Oryzias latipes: one gene and its partners. The protein of the gene in region 4 interacts with the protein of the main gene of each other region in a pairwise test. Links are inferred from orthologs where the notes say so. Each region holds a gene or a part of one and is shown on either strand. Other genes may lie near its edges. The genes, in order: fsd2, mal2, agtrap, pbx3 and pknox1.

What was found.
Region 1: the proteins of pbx3 (region 4) and fsd2 interact in a two-hybrid assay, tested with the Homo sapiens proteins (3 studies listed by BioGRID and IntAct). The two-hybrid records come from large-scale screens. The link is inferred for Oryzias latipes from reciprocal best matches to the Homo sapiens genes PBX3 and FSD2.
Region 2: the proteins of pbx3 (region 4) and mal2 interact in a two-hybrid assay, tested with the Homo sapiens proteins (2 studies listed by BioGRID). The two-hybrid records come from large-scale screens. The link is inferred for Oryzias latipes from reciprocal best matches to the Homo sapiens genes PBX3 and MAL2.
Region 3: the proteins of pbx3 (region 4) and agtrap interact in a two-hybrid assay, tested with the Homo sapiens proteins (4 studies listed by BioGRID). The two-hybrid records come from large-scale screens. The link is inferred for Oryzias latipes from reciprocal best matches to the Homo sapiens genes PBX3 and AGTRAP.
Region 5: the proteins of pbx3 (region 4) and pknox1 interact in a two-hybrid assay, tested with the Homo sapiens proteins (2 studies listed by BioGRID and IntAct). The link is inferred for Oryzias latipes from reciprocal best matches to the Homo sapiens genes PBX3 and PKNOX1.

Annotation. Positions count from the first base shown.
Region 1 is NC_019861.2:13,794,293-13,798,261, forward strand, and holds the start of fsd2 (fibronectin type III and SPRY domain-containing protein 2), read right to left. Parts: upstream 2,801-3,969; 5' UTR 2,669-2,800; intron 2,633-2,668; exon of another isoform or gene 2,616-2,632; intron 2,563-2,615; 5' UTR 2,437-2,562; coding exon 2,272-2,436; intron 2,047-2,271; coding exon 1,951-2,046; intron 1,727-1,950; coding exon 1,493-1,726; intron 1,310-1,492; coding exon 1,287-1,309; intron 1,161-1,286; coding exon 1,039-1,160; intron 318-1,038; coding exon 153-317; intron 85-152; coding exon 1-84. Other genes in the region: whamm (WASP homolog-associated protein with actin, membranes and microtubules), read left to right, coding at 3,451-3,969.
Region 2 is NC_019874.2:10,913,545-10,917,773, reverse strand, and holds the start of mal2 (protein MAL2), read right to left. Parts: upstream 2,805-4,229; 5' UTR 2,644-2,804; coding exon 2,494-2,643; intron 1-2,493. UniProt on the Homo sapiens protein: Member of the machinery of polarized transport. Required for the indirect transcytotic route at the step of the egress of the transcytosing cargo from perinuclear endosomes in order for it to travel to the apical surface via a raft-dependent pathway.
Region 3 is NC_019863.2:32,259,485-32,262,557, forward strand, and holds part of agtrap (type-1 angiotensin II receptor-associated protein), read right to left. Parts: intron 2,321-3,073; coding exon 2,122-2,320; intron 1-2,121. UniProt on the Homo sapiens protein: Appears to be a negative regulator of type-1 angiotensin II receptor-mediated signaling by regulating receptor internalization as well as mechanism of receptor desensitization such as phosphorylation.
Region 4 is NC_019867.2:19,129,171-19,133,278, forward strand, and holds the start of pbx3 (pre-B-cell leukemia transcription factor 3), read left to right. Parts: upstream 1-1,298; 5' UTR 1,299-2,529; coding exon 2,530-2,777; intron 2,778-3,176; coding exon 3,177-3,256; intron 3,257-4,108. UniProt on the Homo sapiens protein: Transcriptional activator that binds the sequence 5'-ATCAATCAA-3'.
Region 5 is NC_019879.2:31,114,581-31,118,658, forward strand, and holds the start of pknox1 (homeobox protein PKNOX1), read left to right. Parts: upstream 1-1,277; 5' UTR 1,278-1,317; coding exon 1,318-1,389; intron 1,390-2,430; exon of another isoform or gene 2,431-2,494; coding exon of another isoform or gene 2,495-2,545; intron 2,546-2,626; exon of another isoform or gene 2,627-2,748; intron 2,749-3,938; coding exon 3,939-4,069; intron 4,070-4,078. Other genes in the region: ndufv3 (NADH dehydrogenase [ubiquinone] flavoprotein 3, mitochondrial), read left to right, coding at 1-9. UniProt on the Homo sapiens protein: Activates transcription in the presence of PBX1A and HOXA1.

The DNA of each region.
Region 1 (3,969 bases), on a different chromosome or scaffold from region 4:
TCGCTGTTACCCAGAGCTCATACTGAGCGTTAGGGAGCAGATCTGTCACCGTGCAGTGAGTCTCCTTCACTTTTACTGTGCTTACTATAGAAAAACACACATTTAGTCTCCAGCTTGTCTCCAGGGTCATTAGATCTTTAACCACCTGGTACCATGTGGTTGGCAGAAGCCGTCTGCTAGCGTGTCCTCCAGCACGGGTCTGTAGTAAAGGTCATAGTACTCCACCGTGTCGTCAGAGAATAAACTCCAGCAAACACGCAAAGACGTCTGCGTGGCTGAGTTGGACATCTGGGGGTTGATTACCGGAGCAGATGGAGCTGTTTTTATGTGTAAAAAATACTAACATTAACATGTTGTTCGTGTAATGCCCTAAAAGATAAACTCAAGTCGGACCAACAATCTTTTTTAGTTCTTGTATGGAAACCAGAGTTCCGCACATTTTTTTGATAGATGCACATGTGTGTATACACTCACTGGCCATTTTATTAAGCACACCTGTCCAGCTGGTCCTCTACACACATTTCTAATCATCCAATCACATGGTAGAAACTTGGTGCATTGAGACATGTAGAAATGGTCAAGATGATCTGCTGCAGTTCAAACCGAGCATCACAATGGAGAAGAAATGTGATTGAAGTGACTTTGAACGTGGCATGGTTGTTGGTACCAGACGGGCTGCTGATCTACCTGGATTTTCACCCACAACCATCTCTAGGGTTTATAGAGAATGGTCTGAAAAAGAAGAAATATCCAGATAGATGCAGTTCTGTGGGCGGAAGTGCCTTCTTGATGTCAGAGGTCAGAGGAGAATGGCCAGACTGGTTTCAGCTGATAGAAAGACAACAGTAACTCAAATAACCTCTGGTTACAACTGAGGTGTACAGAAGAACATCTCTGAACGCACAACACGTCCAACCTTGAGGCAGATGGGCTACAGCAGCAGAAGACCACACCGGGTGCCCCTCCTGTCCAACTTGATAATAGCAAGGTGTACCTAATGTGGCCAGTGAGTGAATGGGTGAAGTGGTCATAACAGACCTGGGACGGCATTGACGGAGTCCATCATGGTTTTCACATCAGACAGATCAGCTTGGGGTGTTTCAAAGTCAAGCTTTGTGGACAATGTGAGATCAACCTTCTCCTTAGCAAACATCTCAATTCTGCAAAACACACACAGGCAATGTATAAAACTACAATCCCAATTCTAAGAGTGTGGTTTAATAACACAAAAATCCCTTTGAATCCACGTCACACCATGCATACTCACTGAGCATCATCCACGTTACCTTTTAATGATGGGCATAACTGTCTGTCAAAATATATGAAACAAAAGGACAGGATTTAAATTGAAAATTCTAAATGAGTGGTTTGTGCATATGGAATGACTGTGTGTTTTCCTAAAAGCAAAAATAGGCATTGTGTGTCTAAAGACGAACACAACTTTGAACATCTACTTTAGAAAATTAAAATGAAACAACTAAAACACAGGTACCTTCAGGAACACCCTCTTGTCTGGCGTGCGGTAGATCTCCTGGGCTGTCTCAATGAGCTCCTTGGAGGCATCCAGTGCTTGACCGCAGGAGAGCAGCTGACTGTACAGAGCCTCCATCTTACTCTTCTTCTCCTCCACCAGGCCTGCAGCCCTCTCATTGTGGCGCTGGGACAGCGTCTGCAGCACGTCATTGTGGTGCTGCTCCAAGTGCTGCTCTTGACGGCCAAAGTTCTCCTGCATGTACCAGCCCAGAGATACGAATAATGATGGGTCATACCCCAAGTGTGTGAGTAGGAAGCACAGAAGGGTAGACGTACACACTTACGTAACAATAAATGTATAAATCAAAGGTTGAGTAGCAAAAGTAATGACAAGCCCCCATGAATGGTGGGGAGAAGAAACATTTTTAAACTACATTTATTTATTAATTTTTTAAGCAGACCTGACTGTCATCGTACCTCAACAGTAAGAAAGATCTCCTCCAGGTGTCCAGCAAAGTTCTCCATCTCAGCAACCTTGCCTTGCAATCGGTTCCTGATTGAGGTCATTTCACTCTAAAAGCAAATGCAAGTCATGCCTCCAGCTTTTTCTGTTTTATGTTCAAACCAGTAACATGACTTATGAGTCAGTCTTTTGCTGCCAGGGCTTTTATTTGGTTAGCTAACAAACAAATGTGGAATTGTGCACTGCTTTCATTTTTTTTAAATAAATGTAATTATTCTTTCATGCTGCTTTAAATACAATAAATGTACAAACACACTCATTCTAGGGATTTTTACCTCATTTTCGTCTTTAATGAACACATTATCTTCATCATGCTCTATTCCGGTGGGAGACGGAGAGCTGTCCTCACAGGGTTCAAAATGAAGGGACTCATTGGTGTCGACAGAAAATCTCTGGAAGGTCCTTCCTCCTCGATCTGAAACTCCTTTATGTGTCTCCATTTTTGTAGAGTTTCAGCTAAATGTCCTTGTGCCTGGCTTCAATCCCATCCAGCCTCCATCTTCAGACTTCACTCGGGTCCATTCGATTTAAATCTGCACCAGTGCACAGATCCACAATTTATACATCTATAACAAGAAAGTGCAGAACAAAAAACACAAGAACTTCATTTTAAACACACTTTGTAGGTCCTGCTGGTCTAAAAAATAGTAAATAAGATTATACTAAAATTACCAGAATAACTGACTGATTCAGTCTCTTTTTAAATAGGCAGCCGAGTGTCTGACAAGCAAAGTCTCCAAAAGTCTCAACCAGAAGCTGGGACAAAAATAGAATGGACTCATGTTGCTCAGATGTCACAAGCACACCAAATGACTGCAAAACATTTATTATTTCAGGGAAAATCAAATACAGTTTTGTGAATAACACAGTTTCATTTCTGTGTTTTGTTATTTGAGACAAAAATATAGCACAAACAGTTTTGATAACTCCATAAGTTTGAGTCTGATGTAAGGAAAATCCCCAAGCATGTGACTTTAAAGGTCAAAGGTGAAAGTTAGTCAATGCCGTCATGAGGCATTCTAGGTCATTGTAAAAGTCCAAATCAAACATACAGACTCTTGTTTTATACTTTTTTGGGGGTTAAACTTCGTATTTTCGTATATTGTTATCAGGTATGTGATATTCTAACTGTTTTGTAAACATGAAACAGGTACACAACTTGAAACAATTAATATTAAAGTAAAAATAAGTTGCACAATAGCGTAAAAGTATAATTACTTCTATAATAACCACATACAATTTTGTGAAAATATACCTGTACTTTTAAGTTTTTTATTTGAGCAAAAAAGTGCCTTAAAATGACTGCGTTTAACATTGTCTGCATGATTAGCGTTCGGTCTTTAATAATTCCGAGTATTTTGGGTGGCACCTGAAGGCTACTTCCGGGATAGAAATGGCGGACGTTGTAAACAGAGCCAACAGTTCATCGGAGGCCAAATGAACGTGTTTTTAGGATGGACGGCGTTGAGGTTGACCGGCTGGACAGTCTGGACGGCTGGGTGGCCGTCAAAAGTAATATATTCGAGGAGAACGAGGCAGTGAAGCTGGGCTTTATCGTAGAGTGGAACGCCATCGAGTCAAAGTTCGCCGTCACCTGCCACAACCGAACGCTGCAGCGGCAGAAACGCAAAGCTGAAGTCGATGCTGGCGAGTCTCCGCTCAGCTGGGCTGGACTCTTCTCTGTCAGCGACTTGAAGCACATCCACCAGCAGTTCACGTGCGTGGCGGACATCCTTTGCGCGTGCTTTCCAGACTTGTCTGCGTTTGAAGAAGGCAATCTGTGGGAGCTGCTGTTTCAAAGCCGGAGGTCAGCTCCGGAGCACGACGACGCCGAGAGGGACTTCGACACGCCGTGCAGGAAACTGGAGAAATACTTTGTCACAGCGATCGACTTCTGCGGCCGAAAGATTGTTCTGGAAACGCTGTTCACTCAAGACGAGCGGGATGTGGAGGAGTACTTCGAAAACCTGCAG
Region 2 (4,229 bases), on a different chromosome or scaffold from region 4:
CTCCTTGGTCTTTCATTATGTCCCAGTCGAAAAAAACCTGAACTTAAACTTATTCCCATAATTGGTTTTGGGTTGTTCGTAAACATTTTAATCCACGTTACATCCGTCGTCTTTTATGCTATCAAAGCCAAAAAAATGAGAGGTTACTGCCTCAAGTGACAAAAACATATAGATTATATTGATTAAAAACACTCTATGCTCTTAAATGAGCCAGTATTTTAATAAAACTCAAACTGTAATTGTAAACTGATCAATTTTCTTTATAAACATATAAATGAACAAATCAATTAGAAATGGTGAATCTGTGTTGCAACCTCTTGTACATGTGTGTGTGTGTGAAATAAAAACGTGAATGAAAAAATCGCACACATTAATTGGTTTCATTCAGGGAAAAGAAAAAGCTTTACTTCAGCTCATAAGCTAAGTTAAGAAAGTGCAGTGGGTTTTTTTTTTTGTGTAAGTTTTTCTCATGTAAAATCACTGAATTCGTGTTTTCGTTAACATTTCAATCCACAATATGTTCGCCGTTATTTTCTATTAAAGCCTCTAAAAAAATTTAAACTCCCGCCCCGCTGCCTCACTGGATTTGACATACAGATTTCTGCCAATCAGATCAACCAGAAAGGTTACTGCCCCCAAGTGACAAAAACACCCCCTGAACACTTCGCGCAAACCCAGCGAGCATGCAGGATCGCCACTCGGTTAAGATTGCAACTGTGCAGTTGTAAAATGCGGGGTCGCTCGGTTGAAATTGCGCAGTTATAAGTTTCGCTCAGTCAGTCCTTATCTTTGCGCTTGATAAAATTAGTGGCAGCCATGAAACGCCATAGACATGAAACAGAACACCAATGGGGTACCTCTCTGTGTGGAGTTTGCATGGGCTTTTTCTGGGGACTCCAGCTTCCGCCCACCTCCAGAAACATGCTTCACATGTTAATTAGTTACTCTAAATTAGGCCTGCACAATAAATCGCAAATTTATTGTTATCGCGATGCATTATCGCTGTGCATTATCCATATCACAAAAGACAGCTAAAATCGCAATAAAAGGTAAACCTTAAATGTGCTAAAAAAATCTTATGGCCACTTGAATCATAAGAATTGAATACATAATTGAATAAATCCCTTGATACCAATCAGATGGAGCCTTTCACATTGCTAACCAATCCGATGGAGCTTTTATGTTAGATGTTGCCCTCCTAATTAGACGAGGGTCATTTGGAGAATAATTAAAGGCATTTTGACTCTTATTTAAATTAAACTGTTCAGTGAAATGGAAATATTTTTGTTGATTTTGCTATTTGTTCATTTATTGCAAGTTATATCGTCATCGCAATATTGATCACTAATATCGCAAGTTTTCCTCTTATCGTGCAGCCCTTCTCTAAATTGTCCCTAGGTGTGAATGTGGGTGTGCATGGGTGTGTGATTGTGGTCCTGTGACAGACTGGCGTCCAGGATGTCCCCTGCCTTTGCCCACGAGTGGCCTTGATAGGCTCCGGCAGCCCCATGACCCCAAAAGGGACAATCCAGGTTTAGCAGATGAATGATTGAAAGTACACTTTCTTCCTGTAATTGAGGACAAGGCATGTATGCAGTTCAAGAGGTAAATATGAAAATATTTTTCTGCAATGGTTGGATTTGTTCTCCTGCTTAATGCTCCCCTTTACTAACATGAGCTGAAAGTTTTAAGTGTATGGCATCTATGTGAAAATTGTCATGCATCATTTGAACAGTTACCCCGAGGCACTCAATATCTTGGCAAATTAATTATACCACGTAAGTGTTATTGCATTTTAGTTGGTGAATAATTGAAAAACTTTGGCCATTTTGGCATCTTTGCTGCTTGTTTTCTCTCTCAATCTTTTTAAGGAATTTACTTAGCCCTTGATTAAAATGTCCAATTTTTTATGATTCTTTTGAAGCAAAGTATCATAAATTGTTAGTTCATAATGCATTCTTCTCTGATCATCCTTATTAGGTAAGTTTTCTTTTTCACAAAACCAACTAAAAGCATTATTTTAGTGGGTGGGAAGTTCAAGGGTTAACATCAACCAGGCTCACACCTTAATAGCCACAGATCGGCAATTAATTCTTTGAATGTTTCCAACATATGCTCTTCCTTTTCTGCACAAACTAAGGCATCAAGATAAGTAGTAAAATACCTGTTAGATTAGATTAGAGCTTTCATGGAAGTGCTGTGCAGAGGTCACCTTGTATGTTTATGACACAATAATGTAGACACAAACCAAAACTCACTTGTGGTCTTCTTCTATAATTTTATATTAAAGGACGTGACTTTAGCGCACGACTACAAATGTGCAAAAGTCGCATCCCTAAGAGACATGATGTCGAATGAGCAGATACAGTTTGCAACAACAGTAACAAACTAAACTATAGACAAAAACTGATTCCTAACAGATTTTACTATATATTAGTAATAAGGATGTGAATAAATATAGAATAAAACAACCGCTTGTAAACAATCACTCACTATTTCTATGCAGATGAGAACTCCAGAATAAGTCCGTAACACACCCAAACCCAGAGGTAGAGAAATGGTTGCCGTCGGGAAGGAGGTGGCGGCGGCGGGGTCCACCGGGGCAGCGGTGGCGGCGGCGGGGTTAGAGGCTGGCTCCGACATTTTTCACCTCTCCTTGTATCTCCTTGCTCTCTGAATAACTAAGCTCTCTGAATTTACCCGTTAAACAAAGGACGGGCACAGAGGCAGAAATTCCTGCGGAATCATGTGTCCTCGAACAGGTCGGACAGGTGCAGCGGCCACTCCCTGGATACGAGGGATGCGTTCAGGGACGTCTCGGAAGATCCCACATCACAATATCCATTTTATAAAACAAGGACGGGTTTAAAAAGTTTATTATAAATATATTATAAACGTGTTCTGGTATTGTTATTACATTGTAGTCTTGTGTAGTCAACTAAATTAGTAGTTTGACTAAAATAAGTAGAAAAAGCCCCTTTATTTTGTCCAATGTTCTACAGGAAAAGTGTTGGGAAAATCAATTATTTGGAATAACCTACATTTTATTTAACATTTCTGAAAGAAAATCTCGCATGTGTCAAACAGGCACGAGTAAAACATATATGAGGCACTTCTTCAAGTTTTTCCACACTTTTATTATTAGTGTTTGATATTGCCAACTCTGAAATTTGCATGATTATGCTTTTATCAAATGCCCTTTGGCCCTGTAACGATCAAGGATAGCAGTTTTCTTCCTTTTTCTTATTAGGAATCACTATGTGTTTCACAACCCTGTTCCTTAAGCATCCCTGCCCAGAGTGTTTTACTGCTTTTCTCTGTCAAACACACCCAACTCAAATAAATGACTCATTCTCAAGTCATGATTAAACTCAGGAGCTTAATCAGGTTTGTTAGACAAGAGGAAAACTTGACCAGACGGTGTTGGGAAACCTAAATCTTTATAAACCTAAACATGATTTAAAAAAAAACCTGCTTTAAAAAAATAGAAATGACCTAGATAACATTGAAAAAAAAGTTTACTTTTATATTGTAATTTCACCAAAGACTTTTAAAGGAACACAAATGTTACTAAAATAACACTTGTATGGTGTCCTGTGAAATAAATGACAGATTTAAACTGAACCACTGGGCTGTCATGGTGAAAAAGCACAGTTTTTATGATAAACCACTGTCAATGATTAGCTTGAGTTTAGATTATGTTAACCAATGTTGGTTTAACCTCCAAGAGGGCACTGTTCATTTTTAGTGGACTGAATCTTTTCCCTTGTATAGTCAAAGTCTATTTTTCATTGTTTGTGATGAGTTTTTTTCTTGTTTTATACTAGTTTTGATTTGGATTCTCTTCATAAAACCTTTAAAAGGCTCAATGGTTTTTCAAAAATAACACATTCAGAGGTCAAACAGTCGTTCATTCTTTCATCTCCTAAGCCGTTTTGTCCTTTTCGGGGTCAGGGGGCTGCCAGAGCGTGTCCGGCCACTTGTGGGCGAAGGCTGGGGACACCCTGGACAGGTCACCAGTCTGTCGCAGGGCGTCAAACACTATTAATTTTACATTTATTTCATTTATAAGAAAATGTACTCACTGTTTAGTTTAAAATATTAAAGGGCCTATACCATGCAATTCTGAAGTCTGTCAGAGTAAACGACATCCATATATTACCTTTAGCACACTAAATAACCTCTTTTTAAAAAAACAAAATCAAATATGAGTCATTTTCTCGAGCTCA
Region 3 (3,073 bases), on a different chromosome or scaffold from region 4:
GATTTCCATGAATATCACTACATGTTTTGTTTGCGTAACGTTACGTGTCTGTATGAACAAAGGCGGAGCCTCCTGCCCGCGTTCTTCATGGATGTCAGGCTTCATGGCTACCAGAAAGGTGACAAAGTGTCTGCAGTCTGTTTATTACTGAGCAATATATAATATTCTGAGAAGATGTCCGTACCAGAGAGCACAGGTGAAACCTCACATGCTCCAATTCCAGAGCGGTCCATTGACTCTATAAGAGAACTGGACTGAGTGACTCTGCTTTCAGTGGAAGGGGTGTGGTCTTCCAACAAGCTCACTCCTGATTGGTGAGAATGGTTGCCATAGAAACAAGGACTCGGACCAATGGCTGCTTACTGATGACGTATGGCTCCAACATGGTGGCGACCACAATCACAAAACAATGGCGGCTGATTCGACTTCATTTGGTTGGAGTCGGAAGAGAAACATTTTCTGTGGATGACATCACACTCGCTCAGTCCAGTTCTCTGATACAGTCAATGTTCATTTCCAAGTATTTTCCTCTCTTCTCTGGTGTAAATTTAATCCTTAAATCTAGTTTTCTATCGTTTCGGTTTCTTCTTGTTGGCTTTTTATTCAGATGACTCTTCCTCCAGTTTTTCTTTGCACAAATATTCTTGCTTCACATTTTAGAAAGCTTTAAACGTTTGAATCCCTTTCATTTCACTTTAATTTTTCTCTGTGTTACTAAAAACAGAAAATTCTCTTTTTATTTAATTTTTTTCACAGAATGAGTGAATGTAGAATAAAAAGTTGTGTTTGTTAAACGATGTATGGAAAACGTGGACAAAAAAATAGAGAGAATGAGGAGGAGACGCATCAGAAAGTCGACGGATAAAAAAAAGGATTTCTGAGGAAAAGTATTAAAGGAAAACCTTTCTGGTCATTTGTAAAAAGTTCAAATGTGGGGCTTTTTGATTCACATCATTGCAGAAAAGAAAGGAATATTTTCCGTGATGTTAGAAGGGTTTTAGAATGTCAGAAACTGGTCCTCAAAAGTTCTCAGATAAAACTGGGATTCAACGGACCCCCCCGGGACAGTTTCACTTTTTAACCGGCTTCATTTTTGAAGTTGGAGCTAAAATGCAGCAGAACTTTAAAACCAGAGTTGATTTGAACTTTTTGTGACCGGCACAGACTAAAAACAGGAAAACCTTGAAAAAGAAACAAAGAAGAAACTTGAATGTTCAGCAGAAGTTCAGGAGGATTTGACTGATTACTTCAAGTTAATTTAAATAATTAGTTAAGATGATCAGACTTCCTGGATCAGCAGAAATCAGAACAGCTGAAAACAAACCAGTCCTGCAGACAAATTATTGTCGTCTTTCTTGGCTTTTTTAGACTCTTGTTTTATTGTAAATAACCTTAGTAAATATCTTTATCACTAATATTGTGCTTTTGTAATGTGTTGTAGATGAATTTGTTGAACCTTTCTGCCTTAGGACAACGGATGAAATGTAGCTCTTGTGCTAAAACTCTGGCATATTTATGCTGAATCTTTGATTAATATGCAGTGTCCCGATTCAAATAAATAAACACAATAAAAATAAAAAACTAATTGATTCTTGTGTTTTTTGGATGGTTTCCAAAACTGTGTGCTAACCTGAAAACAGATCATGTCCGATTAGATTAAACCTCCGTATTTAACATTTTTTTGTTTGTCTGATCAAATATAAAGACAATTAAGGTTGAGTTTGCTTTTCTGAGTATTTCTGGGGATCAGGAGCAGATGAAAAAATCCAAAGTTGTGACGTAAAAAATTCAATCAGCGATACACAAACTCAGCTAATGCTAGATTGGGGGAGGCTGTAAGTTAGTGGGAGAGAGAGTAAACCAAGGGATGATGGGAAGTTAGCGCAGGCTTACTCCGCCCAAAACTCGTAGACACGTTTCAAATGAATCCTTCCCGCTCTGCAGAAACTTTTGTCTAAAATGAAGTTTTGTTGGAGTTGAAGGAGCTGCTGAGAGGAGGAGGAGGAGGAGGAGGAGGTTTGTGCTGCTCCTTCAGGAAGAACATTTGCCCCGTTTGGAGGTGAAAGACTCCCGTCCTCCCAGAACCCTCTCTGATGCGTTTACCGCGCCGACGGGACTCACCAAAGTTGACGCTGTACTCGCCCCCCCGCTCGCGGTACATCTGGTACACGAAGAAGCAGGACACGGGTTTGAGCAGCAGGTTGAGGATGGCCATCCCCGCACTGAAGCGGAACACGCTGGAGTCGAAGAGGCCGGGGGAAAAGTAGACTCCGAAGTGGATGATGTCGGTCAGAATGGTCACCGTGATGCCCACCAGAAACTGCAGGGGGGGGGGGGGCAGAAAACGAGCAGAGGCAGAGGAGTGAGATCCAAACAGAAAGAACAGAACGTTGAGCGTTACATCGAAGGCCCTCCAGGAAAAAAGTTCCAGAATAGAGTTTTCAATATCAGAGAGCCACACCCCCGGGTGAAAACTCTACTTTCTTCTGGAACTTTCATCCTGGAGGGACTTTGATGAAATCTTTAACTGTAAAGTAGTAGGTAAGTCAAATTGAAAGAAAGTGAAATAAAGTACTATTAACTCCTTCACCGACAGATTAGACAGATTTCTGAGCCACAGAAAATCAGCTGGAGGTCAATAAGCACAACCACAATCAAGGCGCAGCCGATGAGAAACCAGATTTCTTATACTTTTTCATTTTGTTAAGCTCCCTATGGTTCAAAAAAATAAAATGCAGGTCACTTTATTAGCTTTGATATAATTGTGATTAGTCAGCTTTAGACATTTGTGGCAGAGGTGATAAATCGATAAATACTAAACGGTTTTCAATCCCTGCTGACGTCACACCACTACTTTGGCTGCTTAGAGATGATCAACAGGGTGGCTTTTATTTTGAAAGGATGTCATGTGAACAGTAGTTCATGACTTCCATTCACATTCATGTTTTATGTTACTTATGCCCCCCCCCCCCCCCCCCCCAAAAAGGTAACAAGAACACAAATGAGTGTCCTTCTTCTCTAAAGGGTGAGGCGAGACTTAGTGGCTCTGTAAGGGTTAAAGGTTAAACACCCC
Region 4 (4,108 bases):
CATTGAAATATTTTTATTTATCTCTCTGAACATTTAAAGTAAAAAATATATATAAAAATGTTAAAATTTGAATAAACTAAGTTTTGGGAGATAAAGGTTGTGCAGTGAGGTGTTAAAATCCCATTCATTTTTTTGTTTTTTTTTTCCTGCAGTTTTGAGCTTGAGTGTAGGTATTTTACTTTTTTCACATTTCCACAAATAAAGAACAAATTCTCTCTGAACTCTAATTACCTCTGTTCATCGCTGAGTAACTTCAAAAAGTCACAAATGATCAGAATTCACATTTTAAAACTGGGTGAGGTGTAGACAGTCCAGTTTGACTTTTATAAAATGCACTTTTCTTTGCGAGAAATAATGCATGATTGTAGGTGTTTTTCTTCTGTTTCTGTTTGCAAAGATATTAATATGAAAATAAGTCTAGGAATAGAAAACCACGAAGTTTACTGTGATGCTTCATTTAAAGAGGAATCACTCCACAACACTTTCACTGGCGAGACATATGTAGTAGTGTTTTTCTTTTCTTTTCTTTTTTGTTATATTCCCATCTAAATTAAAAATAAAAGTAAAATAGAATTAGTCTATGTAAGGACCAAAGAAGAATTGGAATTAAAAGGGTGTTTTAATGTTTTTTTTAATTATTTTTTGTGTTTTTTTTTGTTTGTTTTTTTAAGATATATTTTTGTCTGAATTAAACATAAATTAAAATAGTATTCACTTGTTTAAGGACCAATGCAGAATTGTTATTTAGAAGGCTTTTACTTTTACTTTATTTATTTATTTGTTTGTTTTATTTGTATTTTTATTTCGAAGATTCCTGTCTAAATTAAACATTAACTAAAATAGTATTAGTTTCTGTAAGGACCAAACCAGTAAATTATAATTTAGAGCTGTAAAAAGCCTCAGAGTACTATCAAATAACCCTAAAAAAGTCCACACCTCATTTTTTCCATCTTACTACTTAATTCTTTTCGTGAATCCGTGCTAAACTCTCACTGTAGAGGAGCATTTTTGTTGCCTTGTATCCAGCTCAACAACTTGTCTGCTGCCATAGCAACTGCGGAGGAGCACCCAGCGCGAGCGCCGCCCGCTTCGTTCAGTCGACGTCACGCGTAGCAACGGCCAATCACAAGTTCCCATGTTTTAGCAAGACTGACACACGAAGTGGGAGGGCGTTTGGCAGCTTGTATCCTCCGCCAATTGGACAGAGGGCCCGTCACTCTCTGCTGTTCTCGCCTTTGATTGGCCAGTGAGCTTTACTTCCAATAATATAAACATGTCTGCCGCTCGCATGGCTTGAACCGAGGCTTGAAGAGCGACTATGCCACATCAAACTGTATAAAACTCCCATGAATTTGCCTGCGGTGTGGGGGCTAAATCTTTATTATTGTTGGAGATAATGCACATAGCTGCACGTGCACGCGTCACGGAAACGAGGACACCCCGCCGCCGCTGCAAGAAAGACAGAGGGGACTCTGCCGTTCTTCTATCATTCTAATCACCATCCTAAGTACTAGCTCCTAACATTTTGTGTTTTGGGGCTCAGGCGAGAAGTGACAACAACATAGACCCCTCCTCTGCAGGGCGGAGCGTGCATTTTCATTTCGTATTTTGTCTTTTTTTTCCCCTACCATTGTAGCCTGCTCTGACACGTCTGCACTGAGTGAGTGGCATTGGCACACTGTCAATCGCTCACTACCGCTGCCATCAAACACATAAAACACACAGGCAGAGGCTGCAGCTCATAAATTTCAGCAGGGCAAGATATTTTTTGCGCATCGTCTTAATACACAATCCTAATTAATTTCTTGTCGTTGTTGCTGCTTTATTTCCTTAACCAGAAATCTTCCAACTTTTTTTGGTTAAGATTTCATATTTTTATAGGAACATTTGGACACCTTTGTGCTACAGATTGTTTTTTTTATTTTTTATTTTTATTTTTTTTTACATTTGACAATTGTCGCTGGAAACATTCCGCGCATTTTGCTGGCAACACCTGCCGAGATTTCTTTGGTCTGTTTCCACATTTGGATATTTTTTTGTTGTTGTTCAGCAGGAGGATATTTTTAAATTTTTATTTTAATTTTTTTTTGGCATCTTCAAGAGGAAATGTGCCGGGAATCTGGTGAAGAGCGCTAAATAAATGAGAGGTCACTAAGGAGCGTTTCTGTCAACACCGCCGGTCAAATCAGAGCAAGAGGTGGAAAAAGAAAAAGACTGCTGCGAGGACTGGATATGATGGACCGTCAATTTTGACAAAGAAGTTTTCGGAAGAAGAAAGATTCATGTGTTTTCTCCCAAATAGAGCTGCGCGTTTTGGCACTTTGGACCGCGCGTAAAGCAGCGAGACGACGCCGACAACTTGGACACATTTTTACGCCTCAGAAAAACAAACAAAAACAAAAACATCCCCCATTTAGTAGTGAGACCGACAAATAAGCCAAAAAGGGGGACATCTGTGCTTTTATTTTGGCCGGACAATCAGTCGTCCATCCTTTCTGCTTGCGGCATATGCTATAGCCGATTTCGTATATGAGTTTTTCAATTTGTGTGGCTCAGTGCACAGACTCTTTAGCGGCTACTATGGACGATCAAGCCCGGATCATGCAGTCGATCGGCGGTGTTAGTCTGGCCGGCCACTCGGTGCAAGGAGGCATGGCACTGCCGCCTCCACATGGACACGATGGGACAGACGGAGACGGACGGAAGCAGGACATCGGTGACATTCTGCATCAAATAATGACCATAACTGATCAAAGTCTGGACGAGGCGCAAGCAAAGTTGGTTGATTTCTATGATTTATTCCATTGACTGTCCACAAAAATAGTCCCCAGCTGCAACAATGTAATCATGTGGCCCGGTTTACTTTGACTGCAATGTGCGTAACAATAGGCTGAAGTGGCTGGAAAGATGTGGAGGTGTAGCTTGTTGATGGCAAAATTGGCACAGAAAAATAAAATCCAAAGTGGCTGCGTTTTAAGTTGCAGAAACTTTGAGTTCACTTGTTTTAAAAATGCATTTACATCTGCAAATAGTTTCAAACCCCCTATATTTTTTTGACAGAAAAGATCATCTGAAGTTAAAAAAAATCATTTTTGAAGTCATCAGTGCTTGTTTTCTTTCTTACATGTCGCTTATCAGTGAACTTATTTCAGTATTTTATTTTTTGTCTTATACTGAAACAGGAAACATGGACTGAACTGTCACAGAATGAAACCAGCACTCTTCAGCGTTCTCTGTGAAATCAAAGAAAAGACAGGTAAGACCAAAAACACATGCAGAAGTTAAAAGAAAAAAAAAAACCAACAACTAGTAGAACATGCATTTTATTGCATCTCCCAGTAATCTAATGACATCCTTCATCCAAGTTACACAGAATTTCCGCCCAAATGAATCCATCATCTTCTGGTTTAAAAAAAACCCAAAACCAAAACAAAGCAAACCAAACTAGCAAAAAACAAAAACATGCCATTGTGCCGTGAGGAAAGGCCACTGCTTGCACAGTACAGCAGGTAGATTGTGTTTCCCCTGAAGACGCTTTTGTTCCTGCTAAAGTCTTGTTATCCAGCACTGGTTGCTTGGATTTAAACAGAAAGCACGCTCCTTCATTCAGCCTCATCACGCTGGCACAGAATAGGATGGGGAAATCCCGCAGCATATGCTCTACACAACTAAAGATCACACAGAATTCATGCTTTCTAACATGACAATTGCTATGCATTTTAAGGAGACTATATAGGCACATAATCTGTTATGGAAACGGGGACATGAACAACAGTGTGGATAAATGCAAATTAAAGAACAGAAACAAATATTGATTGATGGAAATTTGAGTTTTTAAAAATTATGGAAAAAAATTGCTGCTGGCGTATTTGCTTTATGAATGGCAAGTAAATTACAGTTCACATTTTACTGACTTATTTTAAGAAAAAAACGGTCCTTTATTTAAATGAATACCACTGTATTTACAATATTAAAGTGTTAATGATGTAGAAAAACTGTAGACAGTTATGAATAAAGCTACAATAAAATGATCATACAAATTTGCACAGACTTCATCAAATACCTGATATTTATGTGAAACAAGAAAACCTATAAGCACATTTAAATA
Region 5 (4,078 bases), on a different chromosome or scaffold from region 4:
AGACACTAGCAGAGGACCCCCCCCTCAGTGGTCCCATGGTGGCGTCATTAAAAATGTCTTTCTGCTCCACACCCCCCGTGTTCTGCTGCTGGTCTTTTTGGGTTCAGGATGTCTTCACTTCAGACGGGAGAGAACATTAGAACTGATGCTTACAGGCAGGAAGCTCCTGAAGACGACGGGGAACAATTACAAAGAAGCAAAGTTAGGTTTTTACAACATTGGAACAATAGATGCACAACATGTAGAAGTAATAACACAAATATCAAAGAGTCCAAAAGGGCAACAAAGAGGAGAAACTAAGGGAAAAAAGATTAAAACATGCACCGTGTTTTAATTAAAGTTCATAGGTTTCAAAGGTTTTTCAGCTTTTTAACCATTTCAAATACTTTCACAGCAGTTTGACTTGTCATGCACCTAATAATGTAGAAAAACACAAAAGGAACTCATTATTACACCACTATTATAGGATGGTGGTGCAGTGGTTAGCGCTCTTGCCTCACAGCAGGTAGGCCCCTGGTTGAAAACACCAATGGGGGGCCTTTCTGTGTGGAGTTTGCATGTTCTACCCATACATGCCTGGATTTTCTCCGGGGACTCTGCCCCCCCCCCCCTCCCAAAATATGCTTCATAGGTTCATTGGTTCCTCTAAATTGTGCCTAGGTGTGAGTGTGCATGGGTGTGTGCATGTGGCCCTGCGACAGACTGGCGACCCTGTCCAGGATGCCCCCTGCCTTCACCCACCAGTGGCCAGGATAGGCTCCAGCACCCTGTGACCCCAAGAGGAACGAAAAACAGTTAAGAAGATGAATGAACCCCCTAATATATACCATTAGGAGCCTTGCAAGGAATCTGTTTTTCTGTGGGTGCAATTAGAAATCTAGAATCAGAAATTTGAGTTTAGCTAATAAATAGCAGTCACTTAGTCAGGCGAAGTTTTGGGTTAACACAAAAAGTCAATAGTTAACAGTTTATCGTTGGTTAAAGCTGTTTTTGTTCCATTTCATCCTGACTGCTGTGCCACAAACTTCAGACTCGCCCAGGGTCCGTTTTTCTCACTGAGTCCGTGTCGGCTGATGGACTGGACCATCGACCAATCAGAGCTGATGTCGAGAAGGGCGGGAGCTGAGTCGGCCAATAAAATTCCACGGGGGGGCCGAGGCACCCCTGCTCCCCTCTTTGGACACACCCCTGCGCACGCGCGCGGCGTAACAAACAGCCTCTAAATCAGGCCTCAGGGACTCGGAGGCATGCTGACGTCAGAGCTCCGCCCTCCTCATCCATAAACATGAGCCGAGCGCTGCTGCGTGCCCCTGCGCGATGACGCAACGCGACAACTGCGGGTCCCGATTGCTGCAGCCGCTTGTCAGTGTGACGAAGATTGGCACTCAGGTAAGCTGTCACTCAAAATCCCTCTTTTTCCGTTCCCTATCAATCAAACAATCTGGGCCGCACGTAAAAATGCCCCAGGGCGAGGAGCGCGGACCTAGTCAAGGCGGCGGAAGGCGTCCTGGGAAGCAAAACCCCAGTGTTAGAGCTGCGGGAGGAATTCAAATAAATAAAAAAATAGAAGGGAGAGGGGGGGTTGAAATATGTCTGCGTTTGCAGGCAGAGGAGGATGGTGAAGAAGGAGAGGGCGAGAGCCACGAGCGAGGCCCGACACATGCAACGTTAGCGCGGAGGGAGGGAGGGAGGGGACGCAGCTGTCCCCGCATGATTGATCGACTCACGGGGGAGGATTTCAAGATCAACCTGGCTACGCGGTGCGCGGCCAGTGCTTTGTGTTGTCCCAGTCCCAACGCTTAACACAATTAAAAATTTGGAAAAAAACGAACAACCACTAAAAGTGTTTGGCTAATGGCAGAGGCCGCAGCTCCGCGTCAGACGGCTCCCTTTGTATCACTCCGCAGCGGGCTTTTTTTTTTATAACCTGGCTAGCACAGTTAGCATGTTTTTTAATCTTGAATGTGATGTTTGCTTTGAGGTTCCCGCCTCTCCACACATGACGGCGCGTGTTTTTACAGCATGAAAAACACTCCCGTTTCTCTTCATGTTCGTTCCGATGTTCTGTAGGCTAGCTTTAGTCGGGAGGTCGGGCTAACGAGCGTGCCCGTTCCTTTACATCCCATGGCGGTGGCGAAATCAAGCCCCCTCTAAACCCCCTTCTTTCATAAAGCACGCAGACGTTAGCCTCAGGGGTGCGTTGGATTTAACCTCCTCTCCGTGCCGCGGTAGCTGTGCTAGCAAAGCCGCGGCTAACTCAAGCTCCCCCAAAACAAATATCCAAATAAAGTGCTGTGCGCTCGGGCACGCGCCCGTGAAAACATTCCCCCGGGATAAGGCCCGTCATTCCCGGGCAGCTGGAACGTCAGCTGCGTGGTTACACTAGTGTTTCCTGACAGAGCGGTGACGTCAGTGACCGTGTTGTCGTTGCAGGTCGGGCCCTGGTCCTGCTGTCTAGGATGAGCCGCGGTCTGCAGGTTCTGCAGTGAACGTGATGGCGGCCCAGTCAGTGTCCCTTGACAAGTACCCGAAGGAGGAGCATCAGGTGGGTGAGGCTCACCTGAGGCCTCCGGCAGCTGCTTCTACCTGAACGAGGTCAAAGTTAACCATGACCCTGATGTTCCAGGTGGTCCCCCCCCTCCTGAATGTTGAAGGCTGAGTGTGTCCTCCACTTGTTTTAGCCCAGAATACAGCAGCCAGCAAAGGACACGCCCCTAAAGTCTGGCCACCTCTGAGCAGAACAGCTTGGTCAGTCCAGAACTTACACACACTGCTCTGTCTCCACCTGTAGAAGTTCGGTTCTCTGACAGCTCCTCTGATGTTCTGAGCAGCAGAACCGTGACCCGGTTCTAAATGTTGGGACTGAGCCTGCAGAACACAGGACGTTCTGATGTGGTTTGATACCGGCCTCCCCCGTTCTTCCTTTAGGGAGGCCATTTAGTGAAACGTTGAGCAAGCTGGACGCCGGTGTTCGATTCCCAGCAGGCTGTTTGGGCTCGTAGTGCTCCTCTAGGAACTGAAGTCACGTGTGTCTGAATTCCTCCCCTGCTCACTCTACAGCGCGTTCTCCATGTTCTAGTTTGTCTGAATCTACAATCCCAAAATCCAGAGCCCTAGAAATTTCCCAGAAGTCTCTGTGAAAAACCAGTGAGCATCAATGCTCACTAGATCTGAGAACATAGACCACAATGCATTGCATCGGAACAAATTTAGCCCCCAAAAATGTCTTTAAATAAATAAACCATCAATGTTTTAATCCTCAGAACTCAGTGGACTCATAAATAATCATATCATAATAAATAATCGTCAGAAAACGCTCATATCAATTAGAGTTTAACTTTGTGAAATCGATGACATCATATCCGCCGTTTAAAAAAGAAGAATAGTGATCATGGAGTCTGAACCGCGTTTGTAATTCAGGGCTCTACATAGTGCTGCACTGCATTTCTAGGGGTTCTGACACAGCCACGGTGGATCTGTCCTTCAGAAGATGGAACTGCTCAGGAACAGAGTTTTTAGCTCGGGGGGGGGGTCGGGCTGGAGAACGTCAGGCTCCTTGATGGGGAGACTGAGGAGCAGAGAGGACATCGTCTCCAGAGGTTTCACTGAAGATGCTGTAGTCCTGCTTCAGAGAGGAGACGGTCCTGTCTGTGAGGGGGCGGAGCTTCATCCTCAGACGCCTCCTCTTCCTCGCTCTCTGCTGTTCTCCTGAATGTTTTTGATGCAACATCATGAAATGCAAGTTTCTCAGAGATGTTCTGGTATTTTATCTGTGGACACAAATAAATGAAAGGAGCGCCATCTTTGTGGTTAAATGAGCTTTCAGAGCGTTGGTGTTCTTCATCTGCTCTGAGCTCAGGAAAGCTTCTACCATGGAGGTCCTTGACTTACAAGAACATGCCTGGTTTTTCACGCCTTCTGGTTTCTCCGTCCCGCAGATGCAGGGCGGGGTAAAGGACGACAGCGACTCGGAGCACACCTTCATCGGGGGGCCGTTGGCAGAAATGCCGAGCCCGGGCCACACGGAGCTGAAGAACCCCATGGATGCAGACAAGGCATCGATCTACCGGTACATCCT